Macaca fascicularis: one gene and its partner. The protein of the gene in region 1 interacts with the protein of each later gene in a biochemical or structural test. Links are inferred from orthologs where the notes say so. Each region holds a gene or a part of one and is shown on either strand. Other genes may lie near its edges. The genes, in order: PTPN6 and PECAM1.

Evidence for each region.
Region 2: the proteins of PTPN6 (region 1) and PECAM1 form a complex in vitro, tested with the Homo sapiens proteins (2 studies listed by BioGRID, with this or other methods). The link is inferred for Macaca fascicularis from reciprocal best matches to the Homo sapiens genes PTPN6 and PECAM1.

Annotation. Positions count from the first base shown.
Region 1 is NC_088385.1:7,893,818-7,897,624, forward strand, and holds part of PTPN6 (tyrosine-protein phosphatase non-receptor type 6), read left to right. Parts: intron 1-713; coding exon 714-903; intron 904-1,058; coding exon 1,059-1,175; intron 1,176-1,279; coding exon 1,280-1,393; intron 1,394-1,568; coding exon 1,569-1,665; intron 1,666-2,301; coding exon 2,302-2,381; intron 2,382-2,577; coding exon 2,578-2,727; intron 2,728-3,066; coding exon of another isoform or gene 3,067-3,087; exon of another isoform or gene 3,088-3,270; intron 3,271-3,807. UniProt on the Homo sapiens protein: Tyrosine phosphatase enzyme that plays important roles in controlling immune signaling pathways and fundamental physiological processes such as hematopoiesis.
Region 2 is NC_088390.1:71,000,615-71,005,137, reverse strand, and holds the start of PECAM1 (platelet endothelial cell adhesion molecule), read left to right. Parts: upstream 1-1,712; 5' UTR 1,713-1,867; intron 1,868-4,523. UniProt on the Homo sapiens protein: Cell adhesion molecule which is required for leukocyte transendothelial migration (TEM) under most inflammatory conditions.

The DNA of each region.
Region 1 (3,807 bases):
AGCCCCTTTGAATCCCTTTGAACCCTTTTGAACCCTGGGCTCCCCTTCAGTGACATCATCCAGGGCACCCCAGAGCCCCCTACACCACTCTTTCCCTGGTGGGGTTGTCCTCCCCGCCTCCCTGGGGGAGCGCACCCCATTGGCCTTCCTTGTGACTTGTGTCTCTCTGTCCATCTCCCACCACTCCCTGTGGTGTGGCCTTGGTCTGTGTTTCTCTTTGCCTCTGGTCTCTGCCGGGGCACAGCCTGATCCTTCATGGAGACTCTTCCTTAGTTTCCCTCTTCCAAATATTTGGAATATTGCCAGCCCTTCTGCCTTTCAGAGGTGGTCTCTGGGTTCAAAGCCTGGTCAGAATTCTGGGGGCTAAGATAGCTTGAGCCTGGGAGGTCAAGGCTGCAGAGAGCAATAACCGTGCCCCTGCACTCCAGCCTGGGCAACAGAGCTCTGGAGGCTTGCCTTGGAGTCCATCAGGGGCCCTAGGCCAGTGAGTAACAGCTCAGCGTCAGTTTCCTCATCTATAAAATGGGGGTAATATCATACCCAGCCCTCAGCATGTTTGTGAGAGGCATCAATACGATGGTGGATTTGGAACCATCTAGCGCAGTGCCTGGCCACAGTAGGTGCTTGATTTCCTGCCCCTCTCTGTGAATATCTTTGCTCAGCGCCTTCCCCTGTGGCCTGGGTCTCACCTTCCCTGACGCTGCCTTCTGTAGGTGGTACCATGGCCACATGTCTGGAGGGCAGGCAGAGACGCTGCTGCAGGCCAAGGGCGAGCCCTGGACATTTCTTGTGCGTGAGAGTCTCAGCCAGCCTGGAGATTTTGTGCTATCTGTGCTTAGTGACCAGCCCAAGGCTGGCCCAGGCTCCCCGCTCAGGGTCACCCACATCAAGGTCATGTGTGAGGTAAGGCAGCCAGGTGGTGGGGGAGCCTCTGCTGAGGCTCCTGTCTGTGACCGCAGTGTGGGTGGCAGGGAGGGTCTGCCTGGGCTTGAATTCAAGGCTGGGGCCCAGGGAGGGAGACTCGAGCCCTGTGAGTGGCCTTATTTGGCTCCCTCCAGGGTGGACGCTACACAGTGGGTGGTTCAGAGACCTTCGACAGCCTCACGGACCTGGTGGAGCACTTCAAGAAGACGGGGATTGAGGAGGCCTCAGGTGCCTTTGTCTACCTGCGGCAGGTCAGGCGGGGACCCAGCTGCTTCCTCCCTTCCCCTGAGCTGTCCCCCAGGTGTGAGCTTCTGAGACCTCTGAGTTGCTGACTTCTCGCTCTCCCCTATCCCAGCCGTACTACGCCACGAGGGTGAATGCGGCTGACATTGAGAACCGAGTCTTGGAACTGAACAAGAAGAAGGAGTCCGAGGATACAGCCAAGGCTGGCTTCTGGGAGGAGTTTGAGGTGCATGGTGGGGAACCGGCAGGGCTGGGGCAGCTGAGGCGGTGGCGGCCGCGTGGGGCCCCAGGCGGACACCTTCCTCCCCTTGCCCACCTCTGCTCCTGACCCACCCCACGTGAGCTCCCCTGATGGGTGCTCTCTCTGGGAGGTGATGCTCATTTCCTCACCCACATCTCAGAGTTTGCAGAAGCAGGAGGTGAAGAACTTGCACCAGCGTCTGGAAGGGCAGCGGCCAGAGAACAAGGGCAAGAACCGCTATAAGAACATTCTGCCCTGTGAGCACCCAGCCTGCCCCATTCACCCAGGAGACCGCCCCACCCCAGCCACTGCCCCTGCCCCATTCACCCAGGAGACCGCCCCTGCTGCAGCCGCTGCCCCTGCCCCATTCACCCAGGAGACTGCCCCGCCCCAGCCGCCGCCCCTGCCCCATTCACCCAGGAGACCGCCCCACCCGAGCCACTGCCCCTGCCCCATTCACCCAGGAGACCTCCCCTGCTACAGCCGCTGCCCCTGCCCCATTCACCCAGGAGACTGCTCCGCCCCAACCGCCGCCCCTGCCCCATTCACCCAGGAGACCGCCCCGCTCCAGCCGCCGCCCCTATCTCACAGGTCTCCACCCTCCACTCCAGGAGGGGCCATCTCCCCACACCCCTTCTCCAAAAGGCCTCTACTCCTCCCAGAAGTGCCTCCCCACCATCAGCAGGCAGGCTGCCCCTTGCTCCTAACCTCCTTCTTGTGAATCCCCTCACTCCCTCCGTACAGATGATCCCCCACCCCTGCTGCCCACAGTCCCCCGCAAGCCTCATGGCTTCTGAGACCAGAACGGCCTGTTAGCTCAGGAGGGTCTGACACAGGTGTGGTGAGTCCCTGGCTGACCCAGGCCATCTCGCCTCCTCTCCACCCACTCCCAGTTGACCACAGCCGAGTGATCCTGCAGGGACGTGACAGTAACATCCCGGGGTCCGACTATATCAATGCCAACTACATCAAGGTCAGTGGTGTGGGTCATGTGGGAGGAGAGGCTGGGCCCTGGGAATTCCCTGTCTGGTGGGGGACCCTAGATCCAGAGACACCTGGGCAAAGCCAAAGCTGGCTTCTTGCATGGGTGAGGGGAGCAGTGGTTCAGGCCCTGTGCTGGGCTGAGGGGCTCACTGTTTTGGGGTGCGTCTCTCCACGCTTGTGTCCAGAACCAGCTGCTAGGCCCTGATGAGAACACTAAGACCTACATCGCCAGCCAGGGCTGTCTAGAGGCCACGGTCAACGACTTCTGGCAGATGGCGTGGCAGGAGAACACCCGCGTCATCGTCATGACCACCCGAGAGGTGGAGAAAGGCCGGGTAGGGCACCCCGCCCCATCCCCACATCCGTGCCCCGTCCTTGTGGTCATACCATTAAGTCAAAGAACCGTCAGATGCCAGAGCAGAAAGGGATCTCGGGGGTGAGGGTCCAGCCTTGTTGGGAAACTGAGGGCTAGTGACAAAGTCTCGACTACACGATGCAACCCCCAGATCCCTGCATGCACCCCTGGGCTCTTCTGAGCTCCAGACCCAGGTTTTAGGCTGTCCTCCTTCCTCCTACACCTTCCCCACCTGTCTGCATCCAGGCCCCTCCTGTCCTCCCTGCCCCATAGATGTCTGTGGAGTCTGCCCCTCACTCTGCAGCCTCCCCTTACACAGCACCCTCTGTGCTGCCGTTGAAGTGATGCCATCCGTGACAAACTGGGTCGAGTTCCTTCCCCTCTGAAATCTCTTCCATGGCTCCTGGTCACCTTTGGGATAAAGTCACACTCGAAGGCCTGGCGTTCAAGGCCTGGTGGTTTCCCTGTGACTCCCACGCTTCTCTTGAAGGCTCACCGCTCCCAGCAGCCGCGGCTCTTTCAGGTTCCCAGCCTTTCTTTGCACAAGCTCTTTTCTGCTAGGAAATGACTCTGTCTCCACACTGTCTCCGCCCGGCAGATGCCTCGTGTTTGAAGACACAGCTGAAGCGCTGCCTTCTCTGTGAATTCAGGTCTTGTTTTCTCCAGGACCTAGAGGGCGAGTTTCCTCGTTCCCAGCCACGCTCCTCAGCGCGGCGTCTCCCCGGTCACTTGTCTCTGTGAGCTCCTCCAGGCACAGGGGCACAGACTGGGTGTTAGCTGTGTCTGTGACTACAGCCTGGTTTGCACGGCTTCGGGGACAACGCCTGCCTCGGCAATGTTTGTTGAATGACAAATGGATGTACCAGTAAAGCGGCTGGCCAGGTCGCACCACCTGTTGGTGGCTGATCTGAGACGAGAGCCCAGGTCTCCTGCCTCTCTGCCAGCTCATCTATCCATCCAACAAACGTTTGGGCTGGCGCCAGGCACTCAGAACCTAGAGCGGGACCTGGGATGGGCCACAGCGCCCTGCTCTGTGCCTCATCCCCACCCGACCCTCCCT
Region 2 (4,523 bases), on another chromosome or scaffold:
ATAAAGTCCAATTTATCTATTTTTGTTACTTTGTTGCTTGTGCTTTTGTGGTTTTGAGAACAGAATGCACAAATACCTGTTTTGGCTTCAGTGCCTGGGAAATGGCAGTGCTCTTCCCCGATCAGCGGCCAGGCCACTCAGGGTGTAAGACAGTAGCTCCCCTAATCCCTTGGGCTGTTGTGTGCATGATCTGCTGTCAGGTCCTTCTTCATTAGATCTAGAAGATACAGTAATCAGAAGAATAAAAATACTGTCTAGGTAAAAGAAATTTTTAAATTTATAATGTGAATATATTTTTATTTATACCAGTACAGTTTCAAAACATAATTTTTATTTCTTTTTATGGAGGAAGAGGTCTACAAAGGCAAAAATGCCTATGGTTATGAGTCATAATACAACCATGTCAGCCAGGTGCAGTGGCTCATGCCTATAATTCCAGTACTTTGGGAGGCCGAGGCGTGCAGATTGCTTGAGCTCAGGAGTTTGAGACCAGCCTGGGCAATGTGGCGAGATCCCGTCTCTACAAGAATTACCAAAATTAGCCAGATGTGGCGGTGCATGCCTATAGTTTCAGCTACTCGAGAGGCTGAGGTGGGAGGATGGCATGAACCTGGGAGGCAGAGGTTGCAGTGAGCTGTGATCACGCCACTGTACTCCAGCATGCGCAACAGAACAAGAACCTGTCTCAAAAAAAAAACCCCAAAACCCAAAAACAAAACAACCATGTCCGTTGTAACTGGAGAAGGCCTCCTGCAGGGGATGGGATAGCACAGACTCCTCCACAATGTCCCTGCCTGCCTTTGCCCAGCTGCCCACCTTTGTGAGGGGCCAGACTGGGGTGGTGAGGGCAGCACATGGTGGGTGTGGAAGAAAAGGCACTGAGCGCTGGCCCTTGGGTTCATGAGTCAGCAGAGCTCCAGAGCAGTGATTCAGATGTGGCATGCCCAGCCAAACCAGACCAACAACTGTTGTTATTGTTCAATCATAACCATTGTTTTTTAAAAAAAATTTTAATTAATTATTATTACTTTTTGAGACAGGGTCTTGCCCTGTTGCCCAGGCTAGAGTACAGTGGTGTGATCGCGGCTCACTGTAGCCTCAAACTCCTGGGCTCAAGCGTTGCTCCTGCCTCAGCTTCACAAGTAGCTGGGACCACGGGCATGCACCACCGTACCCAGCTATTTTTAAAATTTTTTTTGTTGTTACTATGTTCTTATTGTGCTCTGTTGGTTAAACGTGCTTTCAAAGGCTAGCTCTTGTTTGATCTTCCTAACAAGCCTATTCAATGGATAGATGGGCATATTATTCCCATTATATAGGTGAGGAACCTGAGCCTCAGAGCATTTAAGCTATTAAATTACAGAGAACAGACAAGAACCTCAGGCTTCTGATTTACGCATTAGTGCATGTTCACTTCCAGGCTGGGGTGTGTCCCAAACCCAGTGGATGCGGGCTGTTGAGTCTGGCTCTTCAACTCTCCAAGACTAATGAGATCTGCAGCTACAGGTGGGGGAAATGGAATGGCCGGTGAATCTCATTTCCCATCACCATCGTCATGAAATAGGTGGTTGGCCTCCTGTGCCTGGTGCTGGTAGCCCTCTGACATGTCTGTTGCCCACCTGCCTCCACCTTCCTCCCCCCACCTCACCCCCAGCTGCTCAGAAAAACCACTTCCTGAAGTTTACTCCAGCAGGCAGCTTTTTTTTTGGTGCAGTTAATGAGTTGCTATGTTTCGGAACTGCGTTACTTACCTGGTATTTGAAGGCAGGAGCACTGCAGGTAGAAATGACTGTGTGTCTGTCCTCCTTCAATTCCACTTGGCTGAGGAGAAGAAGCGAACAACACCATGTGACAAGCAGAGTCCTGGGTGAGTTTGTTAAGCCTGGTGGGAACTCGTGGGGTCTCTTGGTTATGTAGGAGTCAGTCACTTGATCAGTTACAAGAAGCCAAAGCAGTGTGGGAATCTCTGCCCCCACCCAATCAAGGAATCCACCAAGGTCAAGGGGAAGAAGCAGGGAGAAAGGAGAGGCCCACAAACAAATAAAAACCCATTCAATTTACTATATTGAAAAAGGCCAGGCCAGGCATAGTGGCTCATGCCTATAATCCCAGCACTTTGGGAGGCTGAGGCTGGAGGATCTTTTGAAACAAGGAGCTGGAGACCAGCCTGGGCAAGACCCTGTCTCTACAAAAAGTAAAAAATTAGCTGTGTGTGGTGGCGCACACCTATAGTCCCAGCTACTTGGGAGGCTGAGGCAGGAGGATAGCTTGAGCCCAGGAGTTTGAGGCTGCAGTGAGCCATGATTGTGCCACTGCACTCCAGCCTAAGCAACAGAGTAAGACCCTGTCTAAAAAAAAAAGAAAAAAAATAAGATGTTGGCTGGGTGCAGTGGTTCACACCTGTAATCTCAGCACTTTGGGAGGTTGAGGTGGGCGGATTGCTTATGGTCAGGAGTTTGAGACCAGCCTGGCAAACATGGTGACACTCCGTCTCTACTAAAAATACAAAAATTAGCTGGGCATGGTGGTGCATGCCTGTGATCCCAGCTACTCGGGAGGCTGAGGAAGGAGAGTTGCTTGAACTCAGGAGGCAGAGGTTGCAGCAAGCCGAGATTGTGGCACTGCACTCTAGCCTGGGCAACAGGGCAAGACCCTGTCTCAAAAAAAAAAAAAAAAAAAAAGCTAACTGATACACAGATGACAAATAAGCATGTGAAAACATGCTCAATATTGTTAGTCAATAAGAAAATGCATATTGAAACCGTAATAAGATATTACTACACCCCCCACTAGGATGGCTAAAATTAAAGGCCTGCCAAGTGTTGGTGAGGGTGTGGAGCAACTGGGACTCAGGCACTGCTGATGGGAATGCAAAATGGCATAACCAGTTGGGAAAACAGTTTCTTAAAATATTAAACATACATACACCTATTGTATAATCTGGCTGCTTCATTCCTAGGTATTTACCCAAGAGAAATAAAAATATATGTCCGTACAAAGGTTTGTTCATAGCAGCTTTTTCTGTAACTGTGTAAGATTGGAAACAGCCTAAACGTCCATCAGTAGGTGAATGGAGAGGCTGGGTGCAGTAGCTCATGTCGTAATCCCAGGGTTTGGGGAAGCTGAGGCGGGGGGATGGCTTGAGACCAGGAGTTCAATACCAGCCTGGGTAACAAGAAAAACCTTGTCTCTAAAAAAAAAAAAAAAAAAATTAGAAAAAATAATAGATGAATAAATAAGTAAACTGTGGTGTGTTCATATAATGAACTGCTACTCAGCAGTAAAAAGGAATGAAATATTGATACATCCACCAACATGACAACATGGAGGAATCTCAGAATAATTACATTGATCGAAAGAAGACAGGCCAGGCTGGGCACGGTGGCTCACGCTTGTAATCCCAGCCCTTTGGGAGGTCAAGGCAGATGGATCACGAGGTCAGGAGTTCAAGATCAGCCTGGTCAAGATGGTGAAATCCTGTCTCTACTAAAAATAAGGAAATTAGCCAGGCGTGGTGGCAGGCGCCTGTAATCCCAGCTACTGGGGAGACTGAGGCAGAGAATTGCTTGAACCCGGAAGGTGGAGGTTGCAGTGAGCTGAGATTGTGCCATTGTACTCTAGCCTGGGCAACAGAGAGAGACTCCGTCTCAAAAAAAAAAAAAAAAAAAAGAGAAAAAAGACACACCAAAGATACTGATAATAATAATACAAGGTACATACTGTATGAATCTTTACAAAATTCCAGAACATGCAAACTCATCAGAAAGCAGATCAATCCTTGCAGCGGGGAGAGTGCAGAGGGCAAGGGAGACAAAGGGCACAGGAACCTTTTGGGGGTGGTGGATGTATCTGCTTCCTTGATTATAGAGGTTGTTTCATCGGTATACACATGTCAACACTTTTCTAAGTGTATACTTTAAACATTTGCAACTTATTGTATGTCAGTTATATAATACTTCATAAAGCTGAACAGAAATTCAATTTCTTAATTAAAATTTTAAAGGTAATACTGTCGGGCACGGTGACTCAAGCCTGTAATCCCAGCAGTTTGGGAGACCGAGGTGGGTGGATCACCTGAGGTCAGGAGTTCAAGACCAGTCTGGCCAACATGGTGAAAACTCATCTCTACTAAAAATACAAAAATTAGCCGGGTATGGTGGCGCATGCCTGTAGTCCCAGCTACTTGGGAGGCTGAGACATGAGAATCACTTGAACCCTGGAGGTGGAGGTTGCAGTGAGCTGAGACTGTGCCACAGCCTGGGCAACAGCGCAAGACTCCAACTCAAAAAAAAAAAAAAAAAAAAAAGGTTAAAGGGTAATACAGTCACATGATTTAAAAACCAAAGTACAGGCCGGGCGCGGTGGCTCAAGCCTGTAATCCCAGCACTTTGGGAGGCCGAGACGGGCGGATCACGAGGTCAGGAGATCGAGACCATCCTGGCTAACATGGTGAAACCCCGTCTCTAATAAAAAATACAAAAAAAAAACTAGCCGGGCGAGGTGGCGGGCGCCTGTAGTCCCAG